2 linked regions of the Drosophila melanogaster genome follow. The protein of the gene in region 2 interacts with the protein of the main gene of each other region in a pairwise test. Each region holds a gene or a part of one and is shown on either strand. Other genes may lie near its edges.

What was found.
Region 1: the proteins of tap (region 2) and zfh2 interact in a two-hybrid assay, tested with the Drosophila melanogaster proteins (one large-scale study listed by BioGRID).

Annotation. Positions count from the first base shown.
Region 1 is NC_004353.4:493,445-509,979, reverse strand, and holds the start of zfh2 (Zn finger homeodomain 2), read right to left. Parts: upstream 8,171-16,535; 5' UTR 8,123-8,170; intron 6,130-8,122; 5' UTR 5,842-6,129; intron 1-5,841.
Region 2 is NT_037436.4:17,352,369-17,368,859, reverse strand, and holds tap (target of poxn), read right to left. Parts: upstream 9,179-16,491; 5' UTR 9,068-9,178; coding exon 7,871-9,067; 3' UTR 7,049-7,870; downstream 1-7,048. Other genes in the region: Cad74A (cadherin 74A), read left to right, coding at 1-216, 277-403; CG7692 (uncharacterized protein), read right to left, coding at 11,395-13,196, 13,289-14,102, 14,161-14,754, 14,817-15,067, 15,123-15,549, 15,616-15,702. UniProt on the Drosophila melanogaster protein: May play a role in the specification of the sugar-sensitive adult gustatory neuron and affect the response to sugar and salt. Regulated by POXN.

The sequences.
Region 1 (16,535 bases), on a different chromosome or scaffold from region 2:
CATGCTCACTGAAACACAAGACCAGCGCAAGCCAAACAAAAACACAAGCCAAGAGCAATGGACAAGTATAGAAATATACGGATATGTATTTTGACCCACTCACAACGTTCGACTGGGCACTTGCTCCTCACGTGAGTCAGTGTAGTTATGCCTCACCGTTGGAAGTCTTGAGCACAGGTTACATTTTATTTTTTGAATGAATTAATTGCGTGAATTAAATTTAAGGAGAGTAATATTATTTAAGTAAAAATATTGGTGGTCAAGAGTTTGAACGTCTTATAGCAACATCCACATAAAAGCATACATACATATGTTTTTGGTCTGAATCAAGAGCTCAATCGATTAGCCGTATGTGCCCTCTTACCGCCCGATTGCCGCTTTTTTTCCTAGTATGTCATTAAGTCTCTCAATTTTAGACCTGTCTGTGTTCTTCGTATTATAGGTGAGTACCAAATCGGACAGTGGATTTTGTCCAAACTATAAGAAGGTGTACGGTGAAAAAGTATAATGGTAAAATAAAATGGATGCTTAAATTCATATGTATATTGCAAATGTAGCAAATAATGATTCAAATATATTAAACTCAACAGGGAGATCTCGATGTTTATCCGTATAATAGCATGTGGGCCAAGTTTAAACTGCAGTCGAACATTATGTGATGTAAAAAGTAATAGTAAACAATAGTAAACCTTTTGTGAATCGTCGTATTGGTAATCCTATTTTCTGTTAACAATTTTTTGCCTTCTGAATGAAGTCTTCGCAAATGCATATTTTTTACACTGAGCAAGAACTTTTTCTTATTAGAAGTGTAAGCGACAATAATACTGGTAAATTGTTAGTTTTTATTATGATATTGATAATTCTAATTTAACTGGATTAAAAAAAAATCTCGTTATAAATTAAGTTTTGACTAATGATTAATATTTTCAAAATCAAAAATACAATTCATTTATTAATTTAATTGCCTAATAATTTGCTAGCGAATTTTTAACTTTGAACTGATATAAACTGACTCATTTGTTGGAACTAGTCCTTAATAATTTTGGTAGGAAAATAAGAAAAATCTTTTTTGTTATACGAAGTAACTAATTTGGTTACAAAGTATTTTTGTAACGCATTAAAGGAATTGTAAGATAAGAGCATTTCTGAAATAAGCTCGATGATTCTTATGTGTACCAATTTCTTCCATTTTATCCCAACACCATATATGGCTCGACCAATTAAAATACTCGAAGAGCTGCTGCTGCGTGTATGTGTAATCGTAATTAATACAGTCACCGAGGGGAGAGCAAGAAGAAAGATGTGACGTGAGGGTGGGGCTGTGGGGGTTGCGGGAGCACTCAGCGCACATTAAAACGACCAATCAGAAGATGCTATGCGGTAGTCGAAGGCCGCAGTGGTGTGCGAAGTGCTCAGCTCACACGCCACACACTAGCACACGCTCTCCGTCTCTGTCCGAGCGCGATTTATATGGCACTTTCCGTGTGAGTAAAAAGTTTTACGTGAGTCAGGCGAGGGGGAGGATACTAACACATGAACATTGATGATATGTGCGTGTGTGTGACCCATGCATTATGTTTGCATTTGAGGACGACGTACAAAGATTTAGCCAACAGGCTCACATCTGTATGTATATCCATATGTGTACCACGTACATATCAGTACACATGCGCTTGGAGCACATTTAATAGTCGACAATTACATGTGATATGCAGATTTGTATCGCAAGGTCTTCGTCAGTCGTCGGTCGTCTGGGGGTGAGTCTAATTCTAAGTCTGAGTCGCAACCAGAGTCAGGGTCTGCATCGGTCCATTTCCTACGCCACGCCTATTCAGCTCGTACGCTTGTTTGTTTTTAACCGAGCTTTCACACTCCCATCCACATTCATTGACGCGCACTGTGCGCGGGATTAGGTTTAGGGTTACCAACGAGAGAACTGAAATAATTGAGAGCGGAGAATAGGAATCCCTAAAACCATGAGAGAAAATGTTGCAGAACCACCTTAAGCTTCAGCTCTCCACTCCTACCAATCCTATTTTATTTAACCAAACAAGCGAAAAACAATGAGAACAACTAAATCATTGCCACCGCACTTTGCCTCGCTCGCACTCGTGTGCGTGCATACGGTTTTCGCCCGCATATACATAGGTGTGTGCCAGCGTTCACTCAAAAGAAAGAGATGCGAGACAAAGCTGCGGAGCGAAATTTTCTGTCGTTGTGTTGTTGGTAAGGGGGGGTCGGTCGGTGATGTTGGGCGAGAGGGTGAGAGCTGACTGAGAGAAGTAACTCTTAATTTAATTAATATTGACGAACATAATAGAAAGAGCCGAGGATAGAGAGAGTGCGGATGGATCTGCCTCTCTTTCTCGGTCACCCTCTCTTTAATCCTCCCTTCTCCGCTCATAGCACCGACCAAAATCACTTTTGCCATTTGAGAAGCTTGCGCCACCGCAACAACAGCAACAGAACGGCATGGAAAATAAAACAGGTTTCCAATGCTCGGCTTTAGTTTCGGCCCCTGGTTCGGGTTCGTTGTCGGCTTTGTTGCTAATTTCTATTTTCATCCTTGTTGTTGCTTGGGCCTCATTTCGCGTACCCCTTTCGGCTGCCAGTGTGCGTGTACATATGTCTCTGCGCGGTAATTGTAATTGTATGCGCACTCACGGAGCGGGCCCTGGTAAAAGTTGAGACAGATGTGGAGGCAGAGACTGGGGTGCCTGGAGGAGACGGAGACACCGTGGCGACTCGTCGTTCGGCTTGGTCCCAGGAGAAGAATCGCTACGCCCACAATCCAGACCATCTCCCTCTCCTATCAGCGAGCGGCGCGCGAGTACAAATATAATTTATATGTAAATAAATAATTTATACATAATGCGCTGCTTGCGCTTGGCTTCGCTACTGACTGTATCTCGGCGTCTCGTCAGCCCCAGAATATGATGATGGTGTCTCCTTTCTGCATATTTTCGGCCCTCTCCGAAAAGGGCCTTCGTCGTCGTCGTGGTTGTTGTCGTCGTCGTACCTAATGGCAACGTTGGAAAGCAAAGTACTTCGAGATGCGGGTGAGTGTGGGTCCAGAAGGACAGAGACGGCAGAATGAGGCGCTGATGGGTAAATAGAGTACAAGACGGAGATGGGTATATGAAGAACACAATTACCCGGACGTGGTATTTCAGGGAGCACTGGGACATACATACATTTCGGCCTCTTTCTCGTCTCCTTTCTTTTTCTCCCGTCTCTATTCTGCTCTTCTTTCATATTTCGCTGCTCTAAGAAATTTTTTATTACAATTATTCCTGCGATTTCGAATTATTGTTTATTTGAGACAAACTACCCTTACCTCGAACGACTTATGATGACATTCTTTGACTCTGGCTTTCGTTTGTACTACTTCTCAAAGTTTGAGCGTGTTCAATAATTAGTATTTATATTAAAAGGAAACAGAAAAGAAACAAAATACACCTCTCCCCCGCACCCACGTTGCTGTGCTCGGGCATATGCCGTCAAAAATGTCCCAAACCATCACCAGGGTATTTACCCATTCAACACATCTACGTTTGTATGTAAAGAGTAGACATATATTCGACCTATTCATCCCCACCTCACAACTCCGCAAGGTATACTCATTCTCACACTCAGGCACGGGAACGGCTTGTAAATGTTACATGAATGTTCATACATACACCTACATATATACACGCTTGTATGTTCCTACCCATACTCGTTTTGAGAAGGAAGAACTCTCGTTTGTAGTTTATTGTGATTCCACAGACTTTTTATTTTAATATCGGTGTTCGTCATTATCGATTTTTGCGTCTCTCCTTTGAAATTTGCCTCTATTCTTCGCCACGCGAGGAAATCGTCCGGGGTACAGGCGGATCTAAGGACCCGGTTGAGGGTTGATGGATTTTAGATACCCACAAGATAAAGAAATGTAAGTGTATGTATGTACATTAGGGCGAGACGCAGATTCGGCAATAATAAGCAGCAATTAGTAGAAGGCATAAATAAGTATGAACTTATCCGAAACGAGCGCACTCAACGCTGTTTTATTTACCTATTTACTAGAGAAACTTTCATTTAATTGGTTCCCATGCGAGCGCCCACGTATTACACACATACTCACACATATATGTATATATATTTATATATGTATATATATCAAAGCTTATATGCTTGCACTCGGTAACGGACAAGAAGCATGTAGATAACTAACAAGAGAATATCAAGAGCGTGCGAGAGAGACGGTTGGAGTGTGAAAGCGTTAGTGCTTAATTGGTTGTTCTGGTAATTAAAATTGCGCTAAAGAGAAGGCTTCTCCTTTCTTTCTATGGACAGAGTGGTTTAGCGTGGTGGTTGAGGGATTCTGCTGCAACGAATCACGTATCCCGTACCAAGCCAGTGACAAAGCCAATGGGGTGTGATTCTAACGGCATCAATTAACGCTGTTCTATAAACCACCCATCTAGCCACCCACAAATGACGGAGAACACAAATAGCAAAGCAAATACCAAACCCACAGAGGAAGAGGCTTGAGGCGGCAGGTGCGGACGTGCGGCAAGAGAAGAGAAAATACGAGGAGGAGTAAGTAGCGAAACAAAACAGAAGGGAGAGGAGCGGGAGCCGCGGACTTTAAGTAGCGACAACCGACCAATCAAGTCGCGCTTAGGCGGTTGTCGCATTCAGTTGCTTTACTCTTCTTTTGATTCCGTTTCCGCTGTTTCTGCCATGTTTCCACTGTTTCTGCACTGGCAACATCAGAGATTTAACAGCTAAAGAGCGAAGCCCTAAGCTCTCAGTATGAGGGCTTTGCTCTCGTCATCATTGCTTTTGTCTGTTATGTGCTTAATTACTGGATGATTTTAGTTCTCTGCTCGGCATTGTTATTTTTCTGTTCGGCTCAGCTTATTTCGGTAAAGTTCAATTCGTTCGTTGAACCAACTCTCAAGACTCAAAGCACAAGGGACTAGTAATCCCCTTCCACCTCTCTGTGAGAGCTTCATCGTCATTGGCTAATTAGAAGTCTTTAAGTAATTAAAATGTTCCAATGGGTGACTTGACATGATGAACCAATAGCTATTATTTGGTGCGCTTATACGAAACACTAATTCCGCAGACAATAATGTTTGCAAATACTTGTTCGTTCTTAATTTGCAGCCTTTGCTGTTAAATACGAACTTATTTAATGATATTTAACTTACATATAGGCGTTCTTATTGCCTACACTATATGCAATTTTTCTCAGAAGTATGCAATGTAGTGAAGGTATATTCTTGATCAGCAAAAACAGCCGAGCTTATATAGTCAGTTTGCCTGCTTGTTCCTACGCCAAATACTCTCTCAGATTTAAGGCTATAAGCTATTAAAGCATTAACTTTTCCCGAAAATATTCTTTCTATTGTATTTAGTATATACGTAAATATGTCGAAACGAATCGGACTCATTAATAAAAAAAATGTCATAGAAATAAAATGGAAACAATATATATATTTTCTCATTAACCGTCATTGTTGATCTATAGTATTTGGGACTCAACATGAAAGGTGTAACCGAAAATTCATTGTGTTATGAGGTATTGCTGATTGTATAACTGAGGTAATGATGTCTTATAGACGGCTATGAGGGTATATATAGTCGATATACACGAATAATGAATACGTTCTTGTTTTATTCATATATAAAATAAGATTCGTAACTGGTTTGTACTTGAAAATAAAATACTATCGAGACATATTTTTTATCCATATCTTCTGGAGGCTATGATATGATTATTTGTATACAAAGGACCAATTTTGCGCATACAACTAGACAACATACCCTTACCAAATCTAATATTGTACTCACTTGAGGTCCTTATGAAAAGTTGAATCCTTAAGCCATTCGACGATTGAAATGAAGATCCTTCAAATAAGGGCGTTCGATTTCTCCTTGCTGTTTTTGTTTTTGCACTTATGTATGTTTGCGAGCGTTTAGACTTGGAGTAAGTTGGGTTATTAGCTAGTTCAATCGTGAATTACTTTAAGTTAGCGGCGATAGTTTGTACTATGTTATGTTTAACTTTAGGCTTAAATATTATAGGAACTTTTGAATCGAGCGCTCGTGGATTTGGGCGAGATAATTAGCCTGCGGCACCTAAAGAGTAATTTTGTGAACAATTTTATTATTATTTTCACCTGAAATATTTAGCTATTACAAGTTAGTGTTATACATTCGAATTGTGCAAAGTTCTTCAGACATTGGTATATTTTATATATAAATTATTGGTTACATATTTTACTGACCCTCAAATACGGTCTCTCTCAATAGGGTTTGCGGTTTTGATTTTGCATTTATGTGAAGCCATCAACTTGAGACAGGTGGTCAATAGACAGGATGTTAGGGAGAAGCCGGCAGGCAACAGCAAGGCTTAAAAAGAACCCAATTAAGTAAAAACCCTGATGTGCCAGTTTATGTACATATGTATACAGGTGTATGCGGGTGAAATTGCCGTGACCAGTGGCAGGTGACAGTCGAAAGGTGATCGACCCACAGCAGTCAGTTGGCAACACAAAAGTAGTTTTGCCAAGGACTTTACCACTTTATCACTGTACATACATATATGGCTCCAGTTTTTTGAAAGAATGATTGTACTAAAGACCAAATAAAAGAAATTCACAATGGCTTGAAAAGACATTAACTTTCACACAAAATCTTTTTTTTATATAGAACGAACGGGTGCTGAAAACTATGTTAAATGTCTTTTTTTCTTACACTTGTAATTATATCTGCAATGTGTGCAAATTTCAAGAGAGCAAATCGAGCGAATTGGATGAGTGCAAGGAGAGTGTGTTCGCGCGCGTTACGCCCCTTGATTTAATTTGCCAACTTCTTGGGATTTTGCATTTTAATATAAACACTTTTACTCCTAGTTGGCTGCTTATATCGCAAGCGAGACAGTTGTCTCTTTTTTATACACACATTTTCACACACGCACAGTCACAAGCACAATCACAAGTGGGAAGTTCTGCTTCCTTTCCCTCCCATCACTTGCCATCCGCCCACCCCAGTGCAGACACCGCGACGAAGAGGGGAGAGCTATCAAGACCAAGACAGAGACAGAAATAGACACACAGCGTTTTTGCATATACTTCTCTCGTGGACCACGTGCTCATTAAATCGCTGAAGGCAATTCATAGAGAACATCCAACAACCGACTAGCGCGGCACAGCACCCTTTCCTGTGCCTGTGGTGTGCTCTTTTCAGCTTCTTTCCTTCCTGCGACTTCCGTTCGCACACCCTCGTTGCTCTCAGCTCAAGGCAGCTCGGCTTTACTCGGCTGGGATCGTTTGGCACATAATGCAATTAAAAATAAAAAACTATTCCCGGACGGAATCCGTTTTCGATAGCTTCGATACATCAAACAAAATAGTGCAGGATTGTCCTCATTGGAAGTGGAATGAAACTCTGCTTTTGTCTACGGATTGAAGTTTTTGTTGCTAGGGACCAGAACTCCAATACCAATGCACCTCACACATAAGGATAAGGGTGAGTGTATTGTTTTCTGCTCGGAACTGCACCGTTAGCATGCACCCATATTTCCGACTGATTTAAACATGTAGCAGAAGCGAACTGAATATTTTACGAAGAAGTGCCGCAGAATTGTTCCGGCATGGTTGTTATTTACTCTAATCGAATGTATCCATTTGCAGGTATGGGCAGGAAGTTGGGCTGATCTCGCAATGCATTTTTTTGAAACTGGTCGAAAGGTTCACGGTGTTCTTCATTCTTGCCATTATAGGTTTTTTTTGTGATACTCTGTTCGACACAACGCAAAAGTAAAAAGTAAATATAAAACTCAAGTAGACGCCGTATAACAACGCGCACCCATATCGAACTTTACATAGATATCACTATTCGCAGAATTGGGATTGGGCTAGCAGTGAATGATTGATTACAGAGGTAACACATTTCAGATTGCAGTTAGTTTCACTCTTTGGTTGTTTTTTACTATGTCACTTTTTATGTTTTAGCGCATTTAACCAGCGAATAGTCACAGTCACATTTAGTCTCACAGTCACGCCAACGGCAAATATATCATAATGAAGATCTACAGCGAAACCGCATCTTTGAGAGCTCTAAAACTCACCATCCGACCCGCATCTGACTCATTCAACGTTTTTTTTCGACTGAGCTGAGAGGCAGGCTTACTTGTTTACTTGCTGGTTAATGCTCTCCGGGGCTCTCGAGCTCTGCTCTCCTCTTCTTTATTCTCCGAAAGTCCGACCGAGCCGAACAGAATCGAGTCATGCGTACAAATCAACATTCAAGAGAGACACTGAGAGACTTTGGGAGATTTCCGTAATGGGGTAATTATTGCCACGCAGAGTGGTAATTACGTTAGAGCGAGACGGGAGATGATGTGATAAAACGGTGTACCAATGTGCTTTATGCTTTCACAGCGAGCCTCTCTTTTCCTTATTTAATTTCTGCCTGTTGTTATGCATGTGTGTGTGCCTTTGTTTTGTGTGGGTGCAGCTTGGGCAATCATCTTTCATTATTTTTGTATTACTGCCGACGGATGTTAAAAGATCCAACACGGCAAGTTCCACATCCCATTGTCTGCAGAATGATCAGAAATATTATAGTAATTAAACTGGTACAAAACTATCACAATGTCTCTTTTGAACCGAAATACCTACAGGCAAGCATCGTGGACTCAACATTTAAAAGTAGATCCTTTGTTTTCCCAATAACTACTCAATATTTGTATTCGGAGATATCAAAAATATCTATAAATACAAAAATATATGTATAATATTATTCGTATCACATTGTCATTAAATAAAATTTTTTGAATGTGCAAACCGATTAAGCTTTTCCCAATATTATGTGTGTAATATTTTTTATGTTCGCTATAGTAGAATGTATGCGACCCGAGATGATCTTGAATATGCTTACTTACATATGTATTTAGGATCACTAGCAGAGCCGATCAGGCACGTCCGTTATGAATTATGAAACCTTGAGTTCTTTTTAACATTTTTCTGGACCAAAAGAGAATGTTTATACTTCCGCGACATGTCTTGCGTAAATATTGTACAATATTTGTAAAATATCATGCGTACATGCGTACTATTCCACCGGAATAGTCAAAAAATGCATGTTAAAATGTTTCTTCGTTGAACAAACCACTCGAATCATTAAAAAATAATTGAAAATTTTTTTTATGAAGAATTTTTTAAGCTTAAGAGTGCAAACGAGAAAGTTCAACATTTTTAGGACTATCGATAGAATCGATCAGAAAGACAAAATAAATCGAAAAGTTTGTGCATGGCAGTTTTGGGCATTAGAGTGGGCGTATTTATGATACGTCTCTGGAATGTATCTGGAATCTGAATGTTTAATAATCGAGGCGTTCATACGGACAGACGGATTCATACGGATCGAATCTAGTTATCCTGGTCAAGAATATATATATACTTTTAGGGTTTTTTTTCATCGAATCTGGTACCCTATTATAACTTTTGATCGATGCGTACATGCATGCATGCGCTGCATTCTTCTTTCTCTTTTATCTTTTACAGTTTCCGAGATATCGGTGTTAATACGGACAATCGGACCTTTTAAGTGATCCTGCGCTTATATATGCTTATAGGGTCAAGTTTCTACATCTACATCATTTAATCTTTTATTTATTAATTAAAATATTTTGTTGAAAGTGTGTTTGTAATATAATATATAAAAAATATAAAAAATATATTTTGCATATGCATTACATATGCGATGATATTAAATTTGTCATATGGGTTAATACACGGGTTAATATTTATTATAGAGTGGTGCAAATGTCCCGGTGTCGGTGGATCCTATCAACTACAAATCAGTCAGCTAGGGGAAAAGCGAACGGAAAATTTCAACAGTTTTTGGCATTGGGAAATAAAAAAAGAAAAATTTTAAATTGTTCAAAGGCATGGTCGCGACCGTTATGGGGAGAAATCAAAAAATAAAAATATATTTTTCAAAACTGTGGGCGTGGCAGTTTTGGGCGGTTTGTGGACGTTAGAGTGACCGTGGCAACAAGCTCGCACTGCGTCTATGTCTCTAGAAACTGTATATTTAATCTCAACCTTATTGCTTTTATAATCCCTAAGATCTAGACGTTAATATGGACAGGCAGACGGACGGACAGGGCCAGATCGACTCGTCTATTGATCCTGATAAAGAATATATATACCTTATATGGTCGGAATGTCATCCTTCTACCTGTTACATACTTTTTAACGAATCTAGTATACCCTTTTACTCTACGAGCAACGGGTATAAATATGCAAGCGATGCAGTTCAAATGGTAATTTCAAAAATAAAATATTTTATGAATATACAGCATATATGTACATATGCCTATGTAAAAGTGTACTCACCGTCGCACACGCAGTATTTTGAATTTGAATTTTTAATCATATACGTATGTACGTACAGCAAAAAATACATATTTACGCAGTTGTCTGTTGCAAAAGTTGCGTCTGCGTTTACACTTTTACCAAGAAATGAATATAACACGCATGTCAGAGGGGAAAGGAATAATATAAAAGAAGAATAGATAAAACCCTTTCTGACACTCACTCTCTTTCGTTTAAACGTCATGCGTTTACTCTCGCTTTTACATACTCGCTAATGCACGGCAAGGTATTAGAATATCCATATATACCCATATACATATATGAAAAAAGATAGAATGCTATAGCCGAATTCCCCGACTATCAGGAACCCGTTACTCAGCTAGTGTGAATGCGAAAGCGAAATTAATTTTTCTGGGATATCGATAGATATTGGGGAATAAAATGAAAAAAAAATTAAAAACTGTTCAATAGTGTGGGCGTGACTGTTTTGGTCGTTCTGTTAGTGTAAGGAGGGGCATGACCAAAGTGTGTTTTTGGTATACCGACAGAAAGTGGCAAGACAAAAAATAAAAAACTGAAAAAATTTTTAAGAAAGTATGGGCGTGGCAATTTTGACATTTTTTTCCTTTTGATAGAAGCAAAAAGTTTTTTGGCAAATCGATAGAAATGTATTAGACCAACAAATATATGAATAAATATCAAAACATTTTGTAGAAGTGTGGGCGTGGCTGTTTTTTTCCGTTTTGGGGAAATTAGAGTAGGCGTTAAAACATTACATAAGTTATTTTCTTGTAGTTCTTATAACCGTTACCAGTAGAGTAAAAGAAGGGTATACTAGATATGCACGTGGGAACTAAGCATACATATAAGCATACATATTCTAGAGACATAGACACAGCGCCCACAATTTTTTAATTCATTATACCCGTTGCTCGTAAAGTAAAAGGGTGGAAGACAGAGACATAAACGCAGCGCAAGTTTATTGACCAATGCTGCCACGCCTACAAACCGCCCAAGAGCGATTACACCCACACTTTTAAAATTCTTTTTAATTTTTTCTTATTTTATTTCCCAATATCTATAACAAGCTGAGTAAAGGGTATCTGATAGTCGAGGAACTGGACATTCAGTAGCATTCTCTCTTGTTTTCTTTGTATATTGGAAGTTATAGAAAATCCAGTTTTTTGTCACTCGTCCAATTCATATTTCTTGTGTCTATAAACAAACCTTAGCTACCAGACGAAGCACTCAGGTGTCAATGTATTTAGTTTATATCTTTCATCCATGTAAATGGCAGTTCACGTAGTAGATCGACTCGGATGTTGTATATAAGCATCTACATAACATATAGGGTCGGATACGTTTCCGTCTACCTGTTACATATTTTTGTATAGTATGCACTTTTATTTATTATTATTACATTAACAAATAATTCCGATGGGTCAGGGCCCTGGCTTTTAACAATTATTACGTTCAGGGACCTATTTCCCAAAGGATAGTCTACTGATTCGGAAGAAGCTTAAAGAAATGGGAAGAGCTGGTAAACTACATATGAATCGATGAGTACACCGATATTCTGAATGCATTGTTTAGATTTAAGAAGAGACCAAATGTTTCGTGTTTATCACATGCTTATGTACAATTACCGTGTTGGGTACACATTCCCTTGTCAACATACAAACTGAGATATGCAGTATGCAAAGGTTTTTGTGTTTGGATATTTTAAGTAAATACAGGTGAGCAAACAAGTTTTTGACGAGGTCTCCGTTTTGACTCTCAGATAAACTTTTGTTTCCGTGGTCACTGGGTTTGGAATCACGGGTTCTTGTACTTAAAGTCGAACAGATCAATATTTAAATTATTCATCGGTATGCCTATGCATGTTATTGCATTTGTATTTTCTGTATTAAACCCAAAACCCAACAACCGTGTAACAAGGTAATAGTCCCACCGATCATCGCTTGTCGGGTAGCCTTCATTTTTTCGGACCACTGTATCATAAACTTGTCATAGGATTAATCTTAAAAATAAATAGGGAACACACATAAACGCAAGTATCTTAACAATAAATAATTTTGCGAATATCTTTTTTGATGTAATGTATAAGTGTTTTAACCATAAATAATTTCAGGAATAATATTTTTATTTACTTTACAAAATTTTTTTTACGTTAAGCAACCAATTAAATGGCTTGAATGGCAACGAACATAACATAACAATAACAGCAACGATGAATTACAATTTGGAAAAATAATTTAGATTAGCTAATAGTTTTGGCTAGTTTTGAAGCACTCGAGTTCTTTGCCTCCCCCTTGTAAAAGTGTCTGCTGGGTGACCCTCCTCAGTCTTTGTCTCGTCGTCGGTATAGCCAGTTGGCCAGATCTCAACTTTTTAGCCGATATAGTTCCCGAGATCTACAGAGACATTCCACCCATCAATATGTTCCGCTTTTTTCAACGAACATAGTATACCCATTTACTCTATATAATATATAATAATTTTGCTTATATTTTGCTTTCGTATCTTTTGAAGATAGCAACAGGTTGTAGAATTAAGTAGTCTTTCGCGGTAAAAAAAAACCGTCTGCAACACTTTTTCTTATTTTCTGTTTTCAAAATTGAGCTCTTTTCCTTTGTTATGTTCTCGACATGTGGGCCGACACTTTAAAGTTGGCCAGTTGACAATTTATTGATGTGATTCCACGATTGTCCCCTTTTTCATTGACGAGGGGCCTATTCCAGCTGGATTATCTGACCTTTTCGATCACATCATTTTATGCGCATATGTCTGATTTCGGTTAAGTTTTAGTATGCTATAATACTTCAAATCGGTAAAATTGACTGTTTTTAAAATAAGTTAAAATCTGTTTGGTTTTTTGTTTGAAAGATTCACATTCTTACTCGCATTCATGGACTTTATCTTTTGTCCAAACGCATGAATAAATTAAAAGGTAGAATGGCTGACGTAATAAAGATTAGAATATGGAATTGTGTACTACGTTCGCCTAGTCACAAAGATTGTGTCGACTTGAAGGGATCGAAAAATCACAACGACATGGGGTGCAAATATGGGTTGAATGATCACAAAACTTTTAAAACCAAACTAATCAGTTCCTATGCGACGAAGATATTATACCGGGAACTCGTAGACTAAAAAGGTTGCTAGATTCCTACTTGGAAGAGGTATTTCCGACTCTATAAATTATGTACATCAGGGTCTGCCGAGTCGAACTGGCCATGTCCGTCTGTGCGTCCGTAAGAACGTCGAACGTTCTCATTTTATATCTTCTTATTTAATATCCATTGATATGCTAGAATCATTATGAAATTATGCTATATCATTCTCTCTTGTTTCATTTTACTATTTGTCTTGCCAATTTCAAAAGATATGCGTATTTTTGACAACTCTGGAATTTCTGAAATTTTAATAATCAATAACTAATAATGCATGCAAGCATCTGATTTCTTCGTTAAAAATAATAAATTATTATAGCATTATAAATATTTTTATGCTATCACGCAATAAAAAAATATCTATGCAGCGCATTATCAAGTTATCGAAAAATGTTACAAAAATTGTCCGTTTGATCAATCGAAACTTTAAAACCTCAAATACGTATATATGTATGCGCCCATTCATTATTTATAAATCTCTTTCGTATCTTCTATGGTGCACACACCTTAAATGACGTTAGATGAATGGACGGTAACTCTGTTTGACACTTTCTGAATGAATTTTAAATAGTTTTGCATATCTTAACTTTTTTATCGTGCTGGCGGTACCTCTAGCAGCTTTCGGGCAACCACCAGTATGCAATTTCCATAGGTAGGTAAGCTATACAAATGTAAATCAAAACAGATCCCAGACTCCAGTCGTGAAGACAATCAGAAGACAGTTTTCCTTATATCTGAATTTATTGTTTACCATGTAGCGAATGGAAGCAAATAAGGATTACATTAATTATTTAAACCTTGTGTTCGTTGAATTACAGTGGCCTTGCAAAAACAAAATAAGTGATATCCAGTTATTTGCTAACCTCCATAACCGGCGTCGACAATAAGTAGGTGGTTGAAATTATACATTTAGACTTTTCAGACAGCAGTAAATATTCCATTCATATTTCGGTCACCCATAGATCCATACATCTTGCAAATTATTCGAGTTTACCACAAATATTTCTTCAAACCAAAATCGGCTAAATCCATTCGTAATAATGTACATACCTATAATTTCGATATTTATATATAGTTGTAATATAATAATTAATTTATATTAATATAGTTATATTAGTTGTTCTATAGGATTTATAAAATATATTGTTCGATCAGGCCGTCCCAACACCTGTTAAGAAAGAACACGTTTCAAAAAGTTATATCGCTTGGAGAGAGACCAAAATCGCGTTGAAATACAGATATATTTTTTTTTAAGTCAGGTATAAGTGTATAATATCCTTTTTATTGGCAACCACCCCCTAAAAGTTCATTTGCGCATCTCTTTTGACAAAATTCAACATTTCAACAAAATAGATTATACTTTTTTTATTAATGTAATAATATAAATGGAAATAAACTTCGTCTGAATCTGATTTTAAAATTACCGAGATAGAATAAGGGAGAACAAAATATTCGATTTCCTCAACTATCAGATACCTTCGGTTTTTTGTCATATCAATCGAAATTGGCTATAAAAACTTTTACCCCACGTAGCGAGTATAAAACAAAGGGAATGCTGTAGTAGAGTCCCCCGACTATCAGATACCCGTTACTCGGGTAGTAGAAATGCAAACGAGAAATTTTATAATTTTTTTCCGAAATCAATAGATATGAATGAGAAAAACGATTTTCAAAAGTGTGGGCGTGACAGTTTTCGGCGGTTTGAAGGCATTAGAAGAGAGGTGGCCAAAGTGATTTTGGTATACCGGTAGATGATAGATTGGCAAGACAAACAATAAAACGAAGAAATATCTGAAAATTTCCCAGTTTGTGGGCGTTAAAATGGGCAACATGAATCAACAAACTTACTCTGCGTCTATCCAAAATCTGTATGCTGTATCTGTATCTGTATCGACTAGGCTATTGATACATACTTTTCAACGAGTCTAGTTTACCATTTTACTCTACGAGTAACGTGTACAATTACTGCAAGAAAGCTTTTCATGTTTGCATTCATGTGGCAGTCCACGTAGTAACGAAGTGCACCAGGAGAGTATGCGAAGGCGACAACAATATACACTTATGTTCACAAGGAAATTAATTGAAAATGAAAATAAATCCGTAGTCCATACGAGCTAAAAGGCAGTAATTGAGCGAGATGAACTTTAAGATTTCCCATTGAATTTGTTAAGTGCCAAATTAAAATTCAATGGGTTGCGCTTCATTATCCCAAATGGATGCGAAAACAAATGCGGGCGTTATTTGTTATTATTTCCCTAATTCCGGATGTTAAACGCCTATATAAGGAACCACCCCATCCACAATTTTTAAATTCAAAGCTCATTTAAAACAATTAAAATGGAAACAATGTCCCCCATAAAATTTGGTCGGAGTTGACCGACCGCAGATTAGGTATTTAAATCTCTTCACCATTCCTCCCCCCTTGACCAGAACTGTCAGTATAGATATCCGTTCAACGCTTTCGCCACTATTGGCAGAACGACAACATACTTAATTCAATTTCTGTGAAAAAAGGGTAACTTAGTCGGACTTTGTGTCATTGGTGCCATGTTCCTCTTGAGCTTTATTCCATTAAAGTGGTACCTCATTCGAAAAGAATGTCTGTTAAAAATGGTTTATATTCTTGAAAAATACGAAACTTTGCATTATATGGTTTTCCAAGTGAGCCTGACATTTAAAATGATTTCTGCAGCCCATGACAGTAGAGCGTTTATTTAATTTAACAATAATTTGATAAGTGGCTCCTACTCGACATAGAGTAATAGTTGATGAATTTAATAGTACGCAAATGAGTTTGTAACAAATAATACAATTGATGCGCACCACTGACTTAACAATTCTAAAAATTAATGTCATAGCATTTTCGTAGACGCGCATACGATCTAGGTAGAGTCGGTTTAGGGAATTAAATTAATGAAAATGGTATTTTCTTCAAAAATATTACACAGTTTGTATATCGCATATAAACAGCGGGGATTTTCGATAT
Region 2 (16,491 bases):
GCTGATGAACTCACAGCAGCTGCGACAGGAACTGATAGATATATACGCCGCCTATGGGGTCAGTGAGGTAGAATCCTGCTCGGTGAGAAGGACTCATGCAGCAGCTATTTTTGCGGGAATGCTGACCTCGGCGGGAGCGTGGCTGGTTTTCCTGGCCGCCCTCATAGGTCTGGCTGCCTTGGTTTCCCTGTGCACAGCCTGTTGTTTGAAGAAAAAGTAAGTTTGACACGGCCTTGACCTTTTCCATATTCTTAACTCATTATTAACCTTTTCCAGGCTAAAGCGGCACAGTAAGCGGAGTCTTCAGGCAAGTTTACGCACTCCCACGGAGCACACAGCCACCTCGTACAGTTACTCCATGCCCGCCGTGCTCTACTCCGAACCCATCTACGGGCCCTTGTAGCCGCAGCTCATCTTCTGCACGGGAAGGTCCAGGTTCAACCACTGACCACCAACCAACCTAGTAGACTAGTGGCCAAGACTCAAGCCCCCTTTGCACCAGCGGAGATCCCCATATCTCCCAGGATCTCCGCTCGGCAATTGCGAACCGGGACTTCTTTCTGGCAGAGATTGGTAGACGATAGAATGCCAAATCAGTCCATATACCATAAGCTTAAGCATACTATGCGCGTGATCTAGAATGTACGTGTAGCACCAATTAGCCTCTAGGATAGTGTTTACATATAAAGTAATGTATAAAGCGTAGGGATTTTTAAATTGAAATGGTTAGCCTAAGTCGAGTCAGTTCTTTGTGTCATTTGTGCTGAAGTGCTGGTTTCCCTGGCGAATTTAGCTGGTTTTCATTTGGCACTTTGGCAGGTCTGGAATGCATTTATTTTTTATATATTTATCTTATCGTCTATTTGCCTATAACATGCCGAACAAGTGCAGTATAAACATCGATCCAAACGACGTCCAATTCCAGCTCCACAATCCAATCCTCGACCAGGAGTCCAAGTCAGGCCATGTGCGTGTCGACCGAAAATGAGTCTCCCGTTTTCAAACAGAATGCATATGCTTTCGCTATTAAGTAAATATATTTATATACGACTAAGTAGTTTGTCCAATGTGAACATGTGTGCAAATAAATTCTATTAACTACAAAAGTGCGAAAAAACGCGACCTTTTACTCATTACTCGCAACGCTTTGCCGCGTAAAGTGATATGCAAATGAATCGTATCCCCACTAATGGCCTTAATACCGGAAGGTGTGGACATAAAATGCGGCTATGATCAGTAGCGATGGAATTTATTGATTATATATCTGCATTATATTGAACCTTAATTGAGCTGATATGCTTTGTAATAAGAATACTAACTGAATCATTAACATACAAAATTTAATCAAAACATTACTTAACCAAAGAAATCAATTGAGATTTGAAAGTAAAGTTGCATGACCTTGCTTTTAATTTGCATTATAGCTTATACTAATCGAAGAAACCACTTAATCATACTATCACATTATCCTTTCGCCCGCCTGCGAGCCGTTTTGAGTACCCCCAGATCCTGACTCAAGTTGTTAACGAGCCGCTCCGGATTCGAAATTCCAATTAAACTTGCCGCGTTCGTAGTAATTTCAAATTCCCATTTCCAAGAGTTCATTTTGGAAACTGCGTCACTATGCAGGCAAGTGAAAATGTAACGTCCAAAAGTAAGAATTCTGTGAAAGAGTGAGAGAGAGAGGCGGCATGCGGATGCATTGAGGGTGAGCGGGACAGGAGGAGGGAAAAACCCATAAATAATAAATGTTGTTAAAACTAATGTGCGGCGCTCATTAGCCCCTGGCAACGAACGAGAGAACGGGCGGGAAAACAGGGGATGATGCTGGTCCTGCCCCGATCCCCGATTCCCGATCCTGGCCAAAATCAAAGGGTGCAGAATGAACTCCGAGGGTTGCTGCTGCCACTCTCCGTCGACTTATTTTTATAACTTTTTAAAGCGAAACAACATCAACAACCCAAGACAGCGAATCAAGTGTTGTCCGGGTCAACTCAACTGCACTTGGGGGTTGCTCGTCCTCCTCCCCAGAGATGGAGTGTAATTAAACTTGTTTCCCTTACTAGTAAAATTTACATAAAGCCTAACTAACCTGGATTGTCATTTCCCTGCAGTCTCGGTTTTTTTTTTTTTGTATGTTTTGCTAAATCACCTTCCACTTGAACAGTGATTGATGATGCCAGTGTCATCCTCATAAATCACACTACAAATTCGAGTGCCAAAGCGGTCCGCTTGTAAGTCATTCGCGGCGCCAATCATCAAGGCATGAAGCTATGGTAATCTGGAATTAATACCACTGATACATATAGGACTATATAGTATAGATAGCACAGATTGTATTTATGGGGCGCCAAGGGCTTAACTTACAGATATAATCTAGTGGAGCATAGGAGACACGTAGGATAGTCTATCTTAATTTTACCCAGTGAATAGCACACGTTCAATGTTTTAGGTTTCATTCTAGCCAAATAAAATCATTTATACTTCATCAACTCTGTAATTATAAATACCACAATTCATGATCAAACAACTTATTGATCTTCTCAGAATATTGTCTTTAAAAACGACATAGAAATATTGCTATAGATTTTATCGGACTCACAATGCGATTTCGTAACGATTTATTTGCATTACACACACTATCCATCGTGTGTATGCAGGTGTCTAGAAACTGACTTTTTACCCCAGATTCAATTCTCTGACAGCTAGTGTCAGACAGCCAGATGTCCGGCTGACGAGGCGGCAAACAATGCTAACAATTAATGACTGAGCCCGGCCATTACCATTTCCTTTGCTGCAGGACCTCCTCCTTCTCCCGATTGAGCGACAAATAGTGAGAGGCCCTTGCGTGCATACCAAAAAGTGAAAAGCGGGGCAGGAAAGTGTGGCAAGTAATCATAACGGTCGCTTTTCGAGGTGGCAGGGCCATAAAAAAGGACTTAGGGGTTGTGTAATTGCAGTTAACTACTAGTTCTGCTTTCCATTTACGTTTCGGGGTAATTTTCGCCAATTTTTTTTTTTTGCGAGGATTTTTCGCATATTTCCCCGAATTTTCCTCTTTTTGTGCGGAAGCCCACACAATGGCGGAATTAGCGCGGGATTTTCGCGCGAATAGTTGCTCTAAGCCGGAAGTGGAACTACCAGGATGCGTCAGCTTAGGATCAGGAAAGGATTTCTCCGCCGTAACCCCCATTAAATCGCTCGTGCCGTGTCCGTTGTTTACATTTAACAATAACTGGGCATGAAACCGTTGTTTTGACGACATTTTAGTGCCAACCTTCCGATTTCAATTTATGCACAACGAATATAAAAAAATTAACAAATATCAACCATAAATTAGAAATGTCAGCTTCATTATGCACATGGCGCTGCATAGTAATTAGGCAGCTTCGCGCGTCTGCAAACTACCTATAAATTTATGACCACTTGATGAACTGCACCCGGATCCGAGTCGAAATCTGGGGTTGGGCTCTCACATTTCGTCCTGGTCGCCGGTTGCTGGTTTCTGGCTAAGCTCATTTGCATAACAATCAACTCATCGTTTGTGGTACAGCTACCATACCATGTCCATGACCCACCATGAACCACTCCTTGCTGCCAGGATTTTTCCATTTTCAGCCTAGTAAAAGGGTGCTTCCTCAAATGCTAATGTTTCGCGTACACTGGCGGCGGGTGTGAAGTTGTAAAGTTTAATGTATTGTTTGTCTAACAGTTTATTCATTTGGAAAAGGAATATATTTGAAATTCCTTTTTTTTCTTGGCACAGTCCCAGAATGCGAATGTGACTGGAATTGAAAAATTGTTCTTATATGGGGTTGGAAAACTGCTTGGCTTTTTGATAAACTGATTTTGAAAAGTTCTCTTAATAATCAGTCATGTGTAAGACCATTTATCTTTTACAGAGGAACCTCAGTTGTAATTTAAGATCAACGAAGGAATTATTACGCTCGAATTAAGTCTAGCTATTTAAAAAAAAAATTTGTTCATTTTTAATGACTTTCATTACTTGCTCAAAATGGTTGGGTTGTAACCATTTCATAATGTAATACCATTTAAACAGGTTTAATCTATAGCAAAAATCAAATTTGAATTCTGTGATCATGTATGTCAAAAACCGCTAGAATATTCAATATTTATAAAGTACCCTGAAATAACCCACAGGACCTTCTGTTTTGTCCTTCATTCAAATAATTTTCCGCAACCTTAATCGAATTTTATGGTCCTATCGTTAGTGGGCAGGAACATGATCTCAATTCGATTTGCCTAATAGAGGAACATGCACTATATAGTTATCTGATTCTTGATTTACATGTGTTAACATTTTCGTTTTGTTTTCCCTTCGCTGCGTACCACTTTCTGGCTCAACAATGTGACATAAATCTGCTTAAATTTGACTAAAACCGCTCTGATCGGATTAAAAATCAGCGCTTGCATAACATTTTACAGTATCAGTCGAGGGAGAGATTGCACACAAATGCGACAGATTGGCTTCCTTCCACGGATACTGAAAAATAGAGAAATGAAAAGGTCCTGTTCGGTACGAGCACTAAGTGTAACAAAATACTCGAGCCGGCTGTTTGTTTATCCAATGTTTTTCGGTTAGATGAGCACACAACTCGAAAGCGACAAAGGTAGGGCACACATGGATATTTTTTTTTTTCGAATCGGAACAGTAACGTATACGACGAGGTCGCACACCCCGGAAGGTTCAGGCTCACAAAAAACAACAACCAGAGGACGTCAAAGATTTCACAGATAAACCAATTCGAGCAGGGCAATGAATGGGCAAAAAGGTCGAGCAACTTGCCGCTAAAAAGCGAACGTGTAGCTATTGCACCAGAGCGAATCTCTGCCATCAATGTTTGATCAGGACCAAAAAGGGGTAATAAACAATGGATCCGGGGCTGCAATAACCACGTGCACCGGCAAAGGGTTAAAAAAATGTGTGCCAACGTCTTGCTAAAAAGGCGTAAAACAATCAATTCGGCAAATAAAATTCGATTTGCGAAATGGGAATCGCAAAAGGGCAAGTACAAATTGGAGCTGTGTCGTCAGGAACGGTGTGATATATGATCTTAATATTTCATGCTTTCCATTCCAAGGGTTGAACTCTGACTCTCATCAAGTCTTTGAGAGTAACCAAAAATAAGGTTTTAGAACACCAAAAGGAACGACAATGCACATAAAAATTTCACATTACCTTAATTCATGTACTCAAATAAAATAAATTTTTAAACAAATGGCTTGATAATTTATCCATCTTTTACAAAAAAAGAAGAGTCCTCAGTTAAACCTACTTTTCTTCATGCTTGAGTTAATCTAAAATACAAGTTGATGGAAAATAATAATAAATCTATACTATAAATTGATAAAATAAACTTCAAAGAAAGCAGCCTTATTTCCGTGTTCGGTTTGATAGGGAAGAGTATGAAATGGCCCCTTGTGTTTTCTCCGTGTGGACTAATCCCTGTATATTTACACAGAAATTTGATTTGGTTAGGTATCTGCAAGTCGAACCCTCCGCCATTAGTCGACCCAGCCGAAGTCCTTTGTGCAATCTCATCGGACCGCATATGAATCGCTCTCCAAGGACCTGCACTTGCCGCAGCCGAAGATGCCAATCCATTGTGTTTGCGCCTTTTAGCATGTCCATGGCAATTTGTTTCCATTTTGGTTGCCTTATCGCCTTATGGCCATCGCCAAATTGTTTTTCCAGCCTCGCAGTGCATTAGCATTCGGGCAAGGGAGTCAGGGCATAGATGTCGTCATTGATCCGCCGATAGCCATCGAAACGCAGCCACCCCGTCCGCTAATGATGCGAGTCCCATCCGGGCCAGGTTTCATCCTCATCCTCAACCCTCGAGGAGAGGCGAGTGGGTCCCAGAAATTGAATGCAGCTTAGCTGGCTCACCCGCTGCGTATTTGCGCCTTTGCAGCACAACAGGACCAAAGAACCCAGGACCCATGCCGGTCTATAATAATGATTATTGCAAAGATAAATCCCGACACCTCCAACAAAGCTGCTCAAATGACAAACGCCGGCTTAGTTGTGGAAAAACTGACGAATTCCCGCTTATAACCCCAATAACTAACCATGAGCGAATCTTTTACCGACAGCAAATATATCTAGTTAACTTAAACATAGTTGAATGCTCAGGATGGCTAGACCTAAAATTATTTCTAAGATATTTGAATGATGAATATAAATTCTAATGGAGTATGCATACGAATAATATGTAATTTTAAATCTTTTTGTTAAAAGTGGTGGTTAGTAGTTGATATTTGAAATTAAATCATACAAGTTGCTGATAAAGATATCCTGCTTTCCCAATATTCAATTTACGTTGCATTAGGCAAACCTACGCCTTTTTTTAAAACTTTAAAACCTTTGAATGTAAGGCTTTGCAGTATGACAGCTCTATTAACGGATAAGACTGTCTTATTGTAATCTTCAGTTGAGATTGCGAATTCCTCACCGGCTTTCCAGCATCTTTACCACCTTTTTACCCTTTTCTCGTAACGGAAAACGTCAGTCAGTCAGTTGTTACCCAGTTAGGCAGTAAAGCAGTAAAGCATTTCCCTCGACTCTTGCCGGTTCGGTTCATTCAACTAAATAATTTGAGTGGCATTCATGCAGGTCCACTGGCTCACAGCTCATGTTTCAGGATTCCCTGTTTGGTCCTGACTGCTGCTGTTGGTACATTCGTTTTGTAATTGTGTGGCAGGTGACGGCAATCTTCCATTGTTCGAGCTATGAAGGCCGAGCCGGGAGTTCGAGTTCGGTTTCTACTTGAACTCACCCCATGTCGAATTGTAAGGGCGAAAAGTGCCCCCTACGATAAGAACAAGCTGCAGTGCACACACACAAAGCCATTCGTTTTATGTGCCCTGCAATATACAATATTTATTTGAATTTAAGTCCTTTGTTTGGGACCTGAAATCCGCACACAGCGGTACACTGATTCCAGGGTTGTTTGCTTTGGCTACTATTTTTGACTTTGTCCAGGAGTTCGTCCATTCTTCCCACTCGCAAAACCATTTTCTGGCTCGTTTTGATCGTCAACTTTATTTGCAAAAATAAATCTTTATGGTTTTACATCGAAATTCAATCTTATCACCTTAAAGTTCTGGCCCTGACTAGCTCGCTTTCCTTGCATTGCAATAACTGATATAGAATCTGGCATAACCTACATACACTTAATCGATTGTACAGTTAATTATGGCTAATACCTGGTTCATTTTAAGAATCCTTATAGATAGGTCTTAAATCTAGAATGGCAAGGTACGTATCGCTTACACTAAATGGACAACCGATTTGTACTATATAGTCAAGAAGAATGCGAATATGTTGAGAAGAAGAGTGCTTTTTGGAAAATTGATTACCCTAAGCACTTTTAATTCAAATATTCACCAGAGATCCGCAAGAAGGAAGCCAATGAATACAAATATAATGGGAATTCATATGAATTAATAATGAGTTCGTGAAGCTTAACTTTGGATGTTTGACTTTAAATTGGTTAATCTATTGAGGATCCCTCTATAACATGAAACTAATTGAGTTCAAAGATTAGCGCAAGTGTGAAATATACAATTTTTAAAGATATTTCATTTTCAAACTTGATGATAATCTTAGCAGTCAATTAGGTGCCTCGCTTATTACCAATATCAACGGATTGCAGGAAAGTTGAGAAAAGTAAGGAAGGGAAATCCCGAGATAGGACCCATAAGTTACTTTAGTTATGTTTTTAAAGTAAGTCAAGGGCAAATCGCTTAGAGGAATTCCCCTTGATCAGTTTCCTGCAATTTCCGGCAATCTTTTAGTATATCACGCTGAAAACCCTAAGATCGTAGTTTGGCCCACAAAACTGTGCTACACCTGCGGGGCGAAGTTTTTGTAGCTGTGTTGATGTGGAACGGGATGCACGTGTGCCTGATCCTCCGGATAGTCCTTCCATGGCGGTGTTTGCGAGTAGAAGCTGCTCTGCTGGTGAATCCCAGAATCCAAGTTCGTAGAATGAAGATTGGCAGCTGCATCGAAGGATCCCCTGAACAGATCGTATTTCTCCTGCGAGAACTGCTGCGGGCTGGACTCCTGCTGGGGATTAGGCTGCAGATGGTGAGGCTGATGCGGCTGCTGTTGCTGTTGGTGGTAAAACCGCATGCTGCCTGTAAAGTCGAATCCTGGTGGCTGCTGCGGATAGTCCATGCCGTGCTGAAAGCCACCCATCGCCGGCGGCTGCTCCGCGTGCGATGCTGGAGCAGTCTGGTGCTGTGCAAGAGGCGCCATTCCCTGTCCATAGGGGAACATTCGTCCGAACAAGGGATACGGCTGTGGATTCACGAAAAGAGCATCGAAGAGCTCCTTGGTAATCCTCTCACCACTCAGCGTGAAGTTCTGCAGCTTCTCCAGATCCAGGTTGATTGAACCTCCGCTTTCCAGCACCTGCTCCAGGGCAAAGATGTAGTTGTGCGCAAATCGCAGAATCTCGATCTTCGTCAGCTTCGTCTCCTCGGGAAGCGAGGGCAGAGTGACGCGTAGTTTCTCCAGGGCATCATTCAAGTTATGCATCCGATTCCGCTCCCGGTCATTGGCCTTCATGCGGCGGAAACGCTTGATCTTCACCACTTGGGTTGGACTGCGCGAGCGAGTTACTCTGTTCTTGCCGACGGCATATTTGCGTTTCGGTCGCGGCGCATTGGGATCCTCTGGCGACTTCACCGGCGTACTGGTCAATGGCGGATCGAAGACGCCATTCGTGGCCCGACTGTTCAGATGTTCGACCAGTGTCCTGCCGCTCCGAGTGCTGTGATTGCTGCTCGTATCGAGCAATCCCACGAAGCCCGCCGGCGGTGAGCTGAGCGGTACGGCGTCCCAGGTGCCGCCGGAGTACGGTTGCGGGATCGCCGGAGTCGGCGGAGTGCCAAAGTCCAAGCGGCGTCGTGAGCTCAACTGGGCCTCCGTCTCGAAACTCTTCTCGTAGCCACTGTCGAAGGAGGCGTCGTCGTCGTCCTCGTCGAACTCGAAGGACTGTGATCCAGCGCTATAGGCATTGTAGCAGGCGGCCATGATCTCGTATCTGTATCACGGTGTGTATATCCTTTAGCACATTTCCGATTTACGATTTCCGCTTTGAGAGAGTTGTTTCTTCGCGTCTCGCGTGCCCGCACCAACTAAAAGCTGGCGAGGAGTGCGCACCGGTTTTATGTGCCCGGCCAGCCATTAAGCCCGCTGATTTGGGTCCGGACTAACAGGCATCAACCCTCGGCGCATTGTCGTCGGTCGTGGCGGCGCCATAGCGCAAAGTAGAGAGCACAGAACCCCGACACAAATCCCAACAGATATGCGCCGTGATTGCCGCCCGGGGGTGGCTTTTGCCAACTCACACACCAACGTCGTCTAGCTAGAACTGCCTGCAGCGGGGTGAACTTCCTGGAGATGGAGATTCGTTCTGCGGGCCGCCGCTACCAGTCAAAATACGAGCATTTTTCACGCTTCGCTGCGAGCGGTGCTCTCTAGGCCAATCGGAAGGATGTCTGCGTCCGAGGATCAGCGGTGTCGCCAACGGCATCATCAAAGCTCGTCTCTATAGTCATACCCTTCCTCTAGGGTTATTTAAATACAATGTGCTTACTGCACAGCTTAAACTTAATTATATTTATATTAATGAATGAGTAGTATTGTTGGTCAATTTAAGATATGCTTTATATTATAGTTAAATTAAAAGAAGAAATATTATATTATTATATATTTTGTAAAAATCACTTAGTTTAAGGATAAATCCAAAAATTATTTGAAATAGGGAATACTTTTGTTTAATATGATATCTTCGGATCATTACGACTTTGTTATATTTTCGGTGTAGGTATAATTTTCGGACGAGATTTAATCCATTTCCGTACTAAAAGATTTCTTACCCTTTCCTACATATATAGAGTATGTGTGCTTCGTGGACTAAATAAATTGTTATTTTGTTTTATCGCCACATCGAAATAATGCGATTGCAATTCAAAAGATTCAATTACCATCAACTCTTTCGCCTTTCGCAACTAAACCGCAATAATCGTTTAGGGCTTACGCCTGTCGCTAAACGGGTTAGTGGCACGTGGCCAGGATGCCGCCTCCACTTACCAAAAGCAACATGTGTATTCAACGGAAAGCTCTCACTCCCACAGGACTCCATCCTCCTGGTAGAAAACCCAGGCGTTGCCACGTGCCGCGGTCTTAACGGCTGCTCAAGTGGCAAAGTGTGCCGATGTGGGATTCCTATCTGTGGCAATCCTGTTAAAGGAGGATCGGAGTTGCAATTTCAAGTGGGCGACGGGTGCCACGTGCGGATTTGTTATGATATGCGGCAATTGCCGCAAATTACCAGCACGAGTGAGAACTTGAGTGTCGAGGGGGCTAATTTAGTAATATGCCACATTTCAGGCAGTTCCTCCTAATGGAAATGAATTGAGTGCTTTTGTTGAAAAAATATAAACCTTGCTTCAGTAATTGTGACACCATCAATTTTTTCTTTAATAGTGCTTTATAAGGTAGCTAAGTATGTTATGAAAAATGTACTAAGTAGAGCTGATGTTTGATTAATTTCCTTATAGATTTCAAAACCAAGATAGTTTTATATAAATAAACAAATACTTAATGGTATACTTATTTATTTATTTTTTAATCAGTTTTCTTGTATGATCAGTACAATGAGTGTTTTCGTAACTTATAAAATATATTTATATATATATAAATATATTTATATATATAAATATATATAAATATATTTATATTGAAGTTTTAAACAGAATATTAATGGTAGTTTGTATCAATATCTTTATAAGAGCTAAGTACTACTAACAATGTTTCTTACATGAGAAGAAAATCTATCCCATATATGCCACTTAAATTCACACCAGCAGCCACGTGTCGCCGTCGTCGTCATCCATGTTACAAAGCTTCTCCGCCGCGTGTAGCTAATTTGGTTTTTTAGAGCCACAATGCACATCAATTAGGCAGTTAATTGAAGTGCGGATGCGTTTGCTTTTTCCATTGAGTGTTGTCCTGGACTCGATGAGAGTCCTTTTTTAAAGGCCCTCGGGCGGCGTTACAGTCCAAATAAAAACCGAAATACAATGCCGGAGCCGGAAACTTGGTCAAACAGATGTACACGTAAATAATTTCATCAAAATCCTGGCGTTTTGGTAGCCAAAGCAAATACCAAGTGTGCCCCAGGCTAATTGCATTCTAACAACCGAGACGAATTCGATTTTCCCAGCTATACACTTCATCTTCCTTGCTCCCTTCCTCTGCTGCGCAACCAACGAACATCCCTTCGCCAGCATTCGTTTCGGGCACGTAGAACATCGCCTCTGGCTCGGTAGCAGGCTCGACTTGTCAACAGCGTGTTAGAATGGAATGATGGCCTCCTCGTAAAGCGGATCCATATCCATTGCATGTGTAAAGTTATTCATGGGGGGGTTTGCGGCTGGAATTGGTGAGTTGGACGAAAGAGAGTCCGAGGACAACTCGATCACATCCGGCTGAAAGGAAGGCGATCGTCGCACATTTGGTTCTGTTATACACTTGGGCCCACTGCGTCCACGGTCACGTCCACGTCTTCTAATCGCAGAAACAGACCGAGTCACTTCCTCGAGATCTGTCGAGGAATCGGATGTAATGTGCTTGAAGACCGGCTTGGCTATCATGCGCGGCGATGGCGTGGACGATTCCGAAGGTGCTGGCGAGTCCGATGTGATGTGCACAAACTTCTTGAAGCGGCGCCTATCATATTGGCGGTAGTTGTAGCTGTTTGAAGATCCATTGCTGTCCTCGGTGTGGGAGCGGCTCTGACCGTTAAGACTCGCTGTGAGCCTTCTTTGGCTGCGACGTGTCTGGTCGTTATAGAAATTTGCCATATTAGTTCGCTTAACACGAACTCTTACTCCCCTGAGTTTTTCTATGTCTCGTGGTGTCAATCTGGTTAAGCACACCTGGGAAGAACGCGTCAGGCATTCGTTGATTTGACGATTTGTCTCCATTTCCTTAATATCGTTTGCAGATCTGGAATTGGATTCGTTGTTCACTGAGTCAAATTGTAAGCACTTGTTCTTAGGGTTCTCATCACTGCCATCCCACAGAAGGGTCTCCTCCGCGGTGTCGGTTTCTGTCCCGGTTTCTGATGGCGTTGACATTTCATTAGGCAGCTGAGCATTCCCTAAGCGCTGCATGTGGATAAGCTTATCTTTTTGTTTTCTTGTATTCGGTAGATCCCGTTGCGGTTGTCCAGTTTGTTTTGGCTTTTCGGCCGCCTGTCTCGCTTCCAGTCCCTCTACTTTGAACAGTCCATTTGGGATGACCTGTTTTAGGTCACTAGTTTTTAAGGCATCTCCCAGTGGCTCCTGGGTCTGTTGTCCAGTTCTCACGGGCTCCTTGGTCAAAAACAGAAACTCCGGAGTCTTCTGTGGCACTTTTGTAGTTTCTAGGCTCCCATGGATCAAATGCGTCTTGGTCTCACCAGTGGGCTGCAACACTTCTGGGTCCATGGTTAAATCAGACTTTGTGGTCGGCGAAGGTGTTAGCTCTTTACTTACACCGGTAGAACCTTCGCTGACCTCCTCCTCGTTGAAGTCGTGGGTAGCCATCGTGGAAGTTTCTGAGTTTACGCTTTCAGTTTCCGATCCCGTGCGAACGATATTTTGAACAAGCTGGGAACATGGCTGCACGGCGGCTTTTGCAGCTTTGGCCATTTTGAGGGCCTTCAAGATTTTGAATTTGTTTAATATCGAGCTGCACTCTATCATGCTGCTGCTGTCTTCTACCACATTCTGCAGCTCTTCCTTCTTGAAACTCCATATGTCGGCGATCGGCTTAAAACCGACGGTTTCGTTGGTAAATTTGGGTCGTGACTCCATCAGTTCGCTAATCGTACGCTTTTCGACACGCGCAGATGTTTCTTGTAGACACAGTTGTTTTGGAGGCTGGACTGCGATTTTTGGCTGCTCCTCGACGACGGGCTGCGTATGAAATTGGTGATGTGATGTCTCTGGAGAGCTCGATCGTCGCCCACCGCGCACACTTCGATCCATGTCAGACAACATGGCATTGGCTACCATGGCTGCCGCCCTAACCCGAGTCCGGCGGCCATTTCCTGTGTAGTAGGGCTCCGAATCGCTTGAGGCAGCCTCCTCCTCGTCTTCCGAAAATACTACTGTGGGATTTTAAATTGAAATTATTAGTATGACTGAATTATTAGTTATTATGAAAGGAAGTGGCTCAAAAGAAAACGATTTTGTTGCTAACCTTCGTCCCAAAATTTGCGTTTTGCGGGTCGCCGCTTTTTCTGCTCCTTGGCTTTCTCTGCTTCATCATCCACTGCTGACGTTTGTTCAGCTTCTTCCTCAGCCTCTGGGAGATTAACCGCATTTTCGTAGCCCTCTTCTATGGTGCCATAGTCCAACTGAGGGCGATCCCTGTATTTGGCATAGTCGATCTGGAGGTACTTCAAATCGTCGCCAGCTTCGGCCATGTTAAGAGACACAAATTTTCTCTTGAGGTCCGGGCTTTTGAGAAGGGCATGGCAACGCTCGTGTAGCGTGTGCCAATCGAGAGCCCATGAGTATCGTTTATTCCGTGGTTGGAAGACCACGGTCAGAAGGTCTTGGATCATGCTGCGGGGAAGCCGCAACGCCTGCAGCGATTTGTGTATCGGATCGTAGTCGGCCACTGGATCGTAATGGTTCGTTATTTTTACAATCTCGTCCACATCGATGGTGGAGCTCAGCAGTTCGTACTTGACGTTCTGTGGTGTCGTAGCAGGTAGCAAGTCGTCCTCCTGCCGTTTTTTCTTAATACGCGAACAGCGCCTCACTTCGTTATAATTTGATGATGTGGGGTGGAGGTAGAAAGCCGTAAGCCAGAATTCTGCCTCCATAAACCCATGTTCGGAGAATACCTTGGCTAGGTCAGCATAGTTTTCCGACATCTTTTGCTCCAAATTAAGCATAAAATCAACTGTTAATCCGGGATGATATTTCCATATTTCAATTGCATTCAACTGTTGTCCAATGATCTTCAGCAGCAGGGCAATCTTAGCAAATGTCCATCCTGAAAAATTCTACATGAAAGCACTGTGTTTAGTACAGGAATTCCTTTTCATAGTTCTCATCACTTACCCGCTCTGCCAGCAGTTTGTACACAAAGCTCAAAACTTCCTCATTGTTTGGTACATTTTGAAACACCGGATCTATTTGTCTATCTTGTTCTTCGTCCACCTCAGGCTGAATCTGTTCGTCGTCATCACAGTTCTTGTAGTCGCCTATGTTGCTGGCTCGGTTTCCCTTGCATATCTGCTGCTGGTAGTTGAGATTTAGCTCTACTACATGTGGTTGAAAGTGGCTGTTTCGCTGGTTTTCCTTCTTCTTGAGTTCCTCTAGAAGGAAGCGCTCGCTGCTCTCTCGCTCCTCTACATAGCGATACATTAGCTCTTTGAACTGTGGCAGGTGCTCCAGAAAATCGTGTTCGTTGAGCGCCTGGAGCTCCATCAGGAGATTCCCAAGCACATAGCTGGCGTAGACCTCCAGCATGACGGCGAATGAAGTGACCAGACTGAATTTGAATTTCCTAAACCCAATTTGCTCAAAGAACCCATTTTTTCCGAGTTGAAGACGCACGCAAACGTGGGCAATAAGCCGAGCTGGCGTAAAGTTAATGTCATGTAACATCGAAGCTTCCTGCATGATCTGGGTATAGAACCGTATGTTGTACATCTAAGGAGTGGTTTTATGATGACATTGTGTTTGATATGTTGTATCATGTATGTTTTCCTTACCAAATTATCTATTACAAAGCCTCGATTTTCATCTCTTACAAAAACAGTCAAGAGGTATAGATGACCGATTAGTGTAATTGAGTTTTTATCCCCTTCAAAGGACACAAATTGATCATTTTCGTGTGCTTTCACCCAAGCAGCCAGCATCCGAAGCGCCAGCTGTTTCACGGCCTCAAAGTTGCCGGCATTAAAGAGCTGTATTAGCCGCAGCAGGGCCAGAGATATCCCTTCCTGTATCAGGAAAGCAACTTCTAAGAAATTGACTATGATTAGATAAATCCTTCGGGAAAAATAGTAATTGCTTGCCTTCTCCTGATGCCGCAGGAACTGGGTGCTCGATGGCGTGGTGTTTGTTCAGCTTCAGGTTAAGGAATAGCTGCTGCAGGTAGGGCAGGCTCCAGGGCCTTGTCTGGAACTGCAGAACGTACGACCAGTTGAAATTGGCCAGTTCACCAATCTGGTAGAACGACGGCACCGCTTTGGTGAGGCTGTAGAGCAATAGTTGCTTAAGGCCTTCGGAGCAGGTCTTCCACTCCTGGCTAAACCAAATCAGCAGCGAGTGGTGCGCTAAAACCCGCACCATGTGACGCAGCGCTGGGTCCTTTAAGGACTCGGAATCCCTGGTGGGCAGATGGCACACCTCCCATCCGTAGATTAACTGCGACAACCGGTCATTGCCCATTAGCTCAAACACATCCACATCGCTGTGCGCATTGCAGAATACAAACATTTTCTGTAGATCAAGATTTAAGCCATTAAAACAGGGAGTTCAGGATATATGTCCAAAGCGTGTCCTTACCGCCGAGAACTCATCGTACTCCAGTTTCTCCGCACAATCCAGGAACTTTTCTGCATCGTGCACATCCTGAGAAAATATTAGATCCATTCCGCAGTACCTAATTCATGACAATCCTGCGAAAAGTCGATTTGTTTTTCAGCCGGCTTGTACTTAGTTTTATTTAGCTTGCAACAGCTGACGCCGATTACCGTAAGTGGATGGTTTTAAACATAGTGGCAGCGCTATCTCGAGGTTCATGTACTCGCTAAACCACGAGACTAGCTGTAATTGCTGAATGGGGAAGGTGAACTCGCTAGGGCCATTGTTGCCAACTTAAATTTATCTCGCAGGCAAAAGTAATTGAACAATACATTTGAAAAAAATACAACAAAAATATATGCACTTTGTAAATGCAATAAGGAATGGAATTTTTTTTTAGCTATATATATAATCGATATTTATTCCTATGGTTGACTTTATTTTAATTTTTTTATATTATCGTATAAGTATGATCAACGTACATACATACGTATAAACGTATGATATTACAAATTTTTCAATGTAATAAAAATTCTAACGTAGTAAATATTCCATAGTTGAAATCCGTTTCTTTGCATTTGTACATATAGAAATTGTCCTGATACTATGTTAGGAAAAGGAAACCAGCTTCCTTTTGTTAAACTTACCTTAAGTCCCTTTCAACAGACCTCGCATTCCTCTCGAAGATCGAAATTTCTGGAAACTTTCTAAAAACACGAAAAACGCGACGAAAACTTACCCGGGCGAAAACACGCGGATTTTTTATATGTATATTAACTGCTTGGTTGACTACCAACAAAAACTGAACACGTGTTCATCTATAAAATAATTAAATACTCAGTTATGAAATTGATTTTG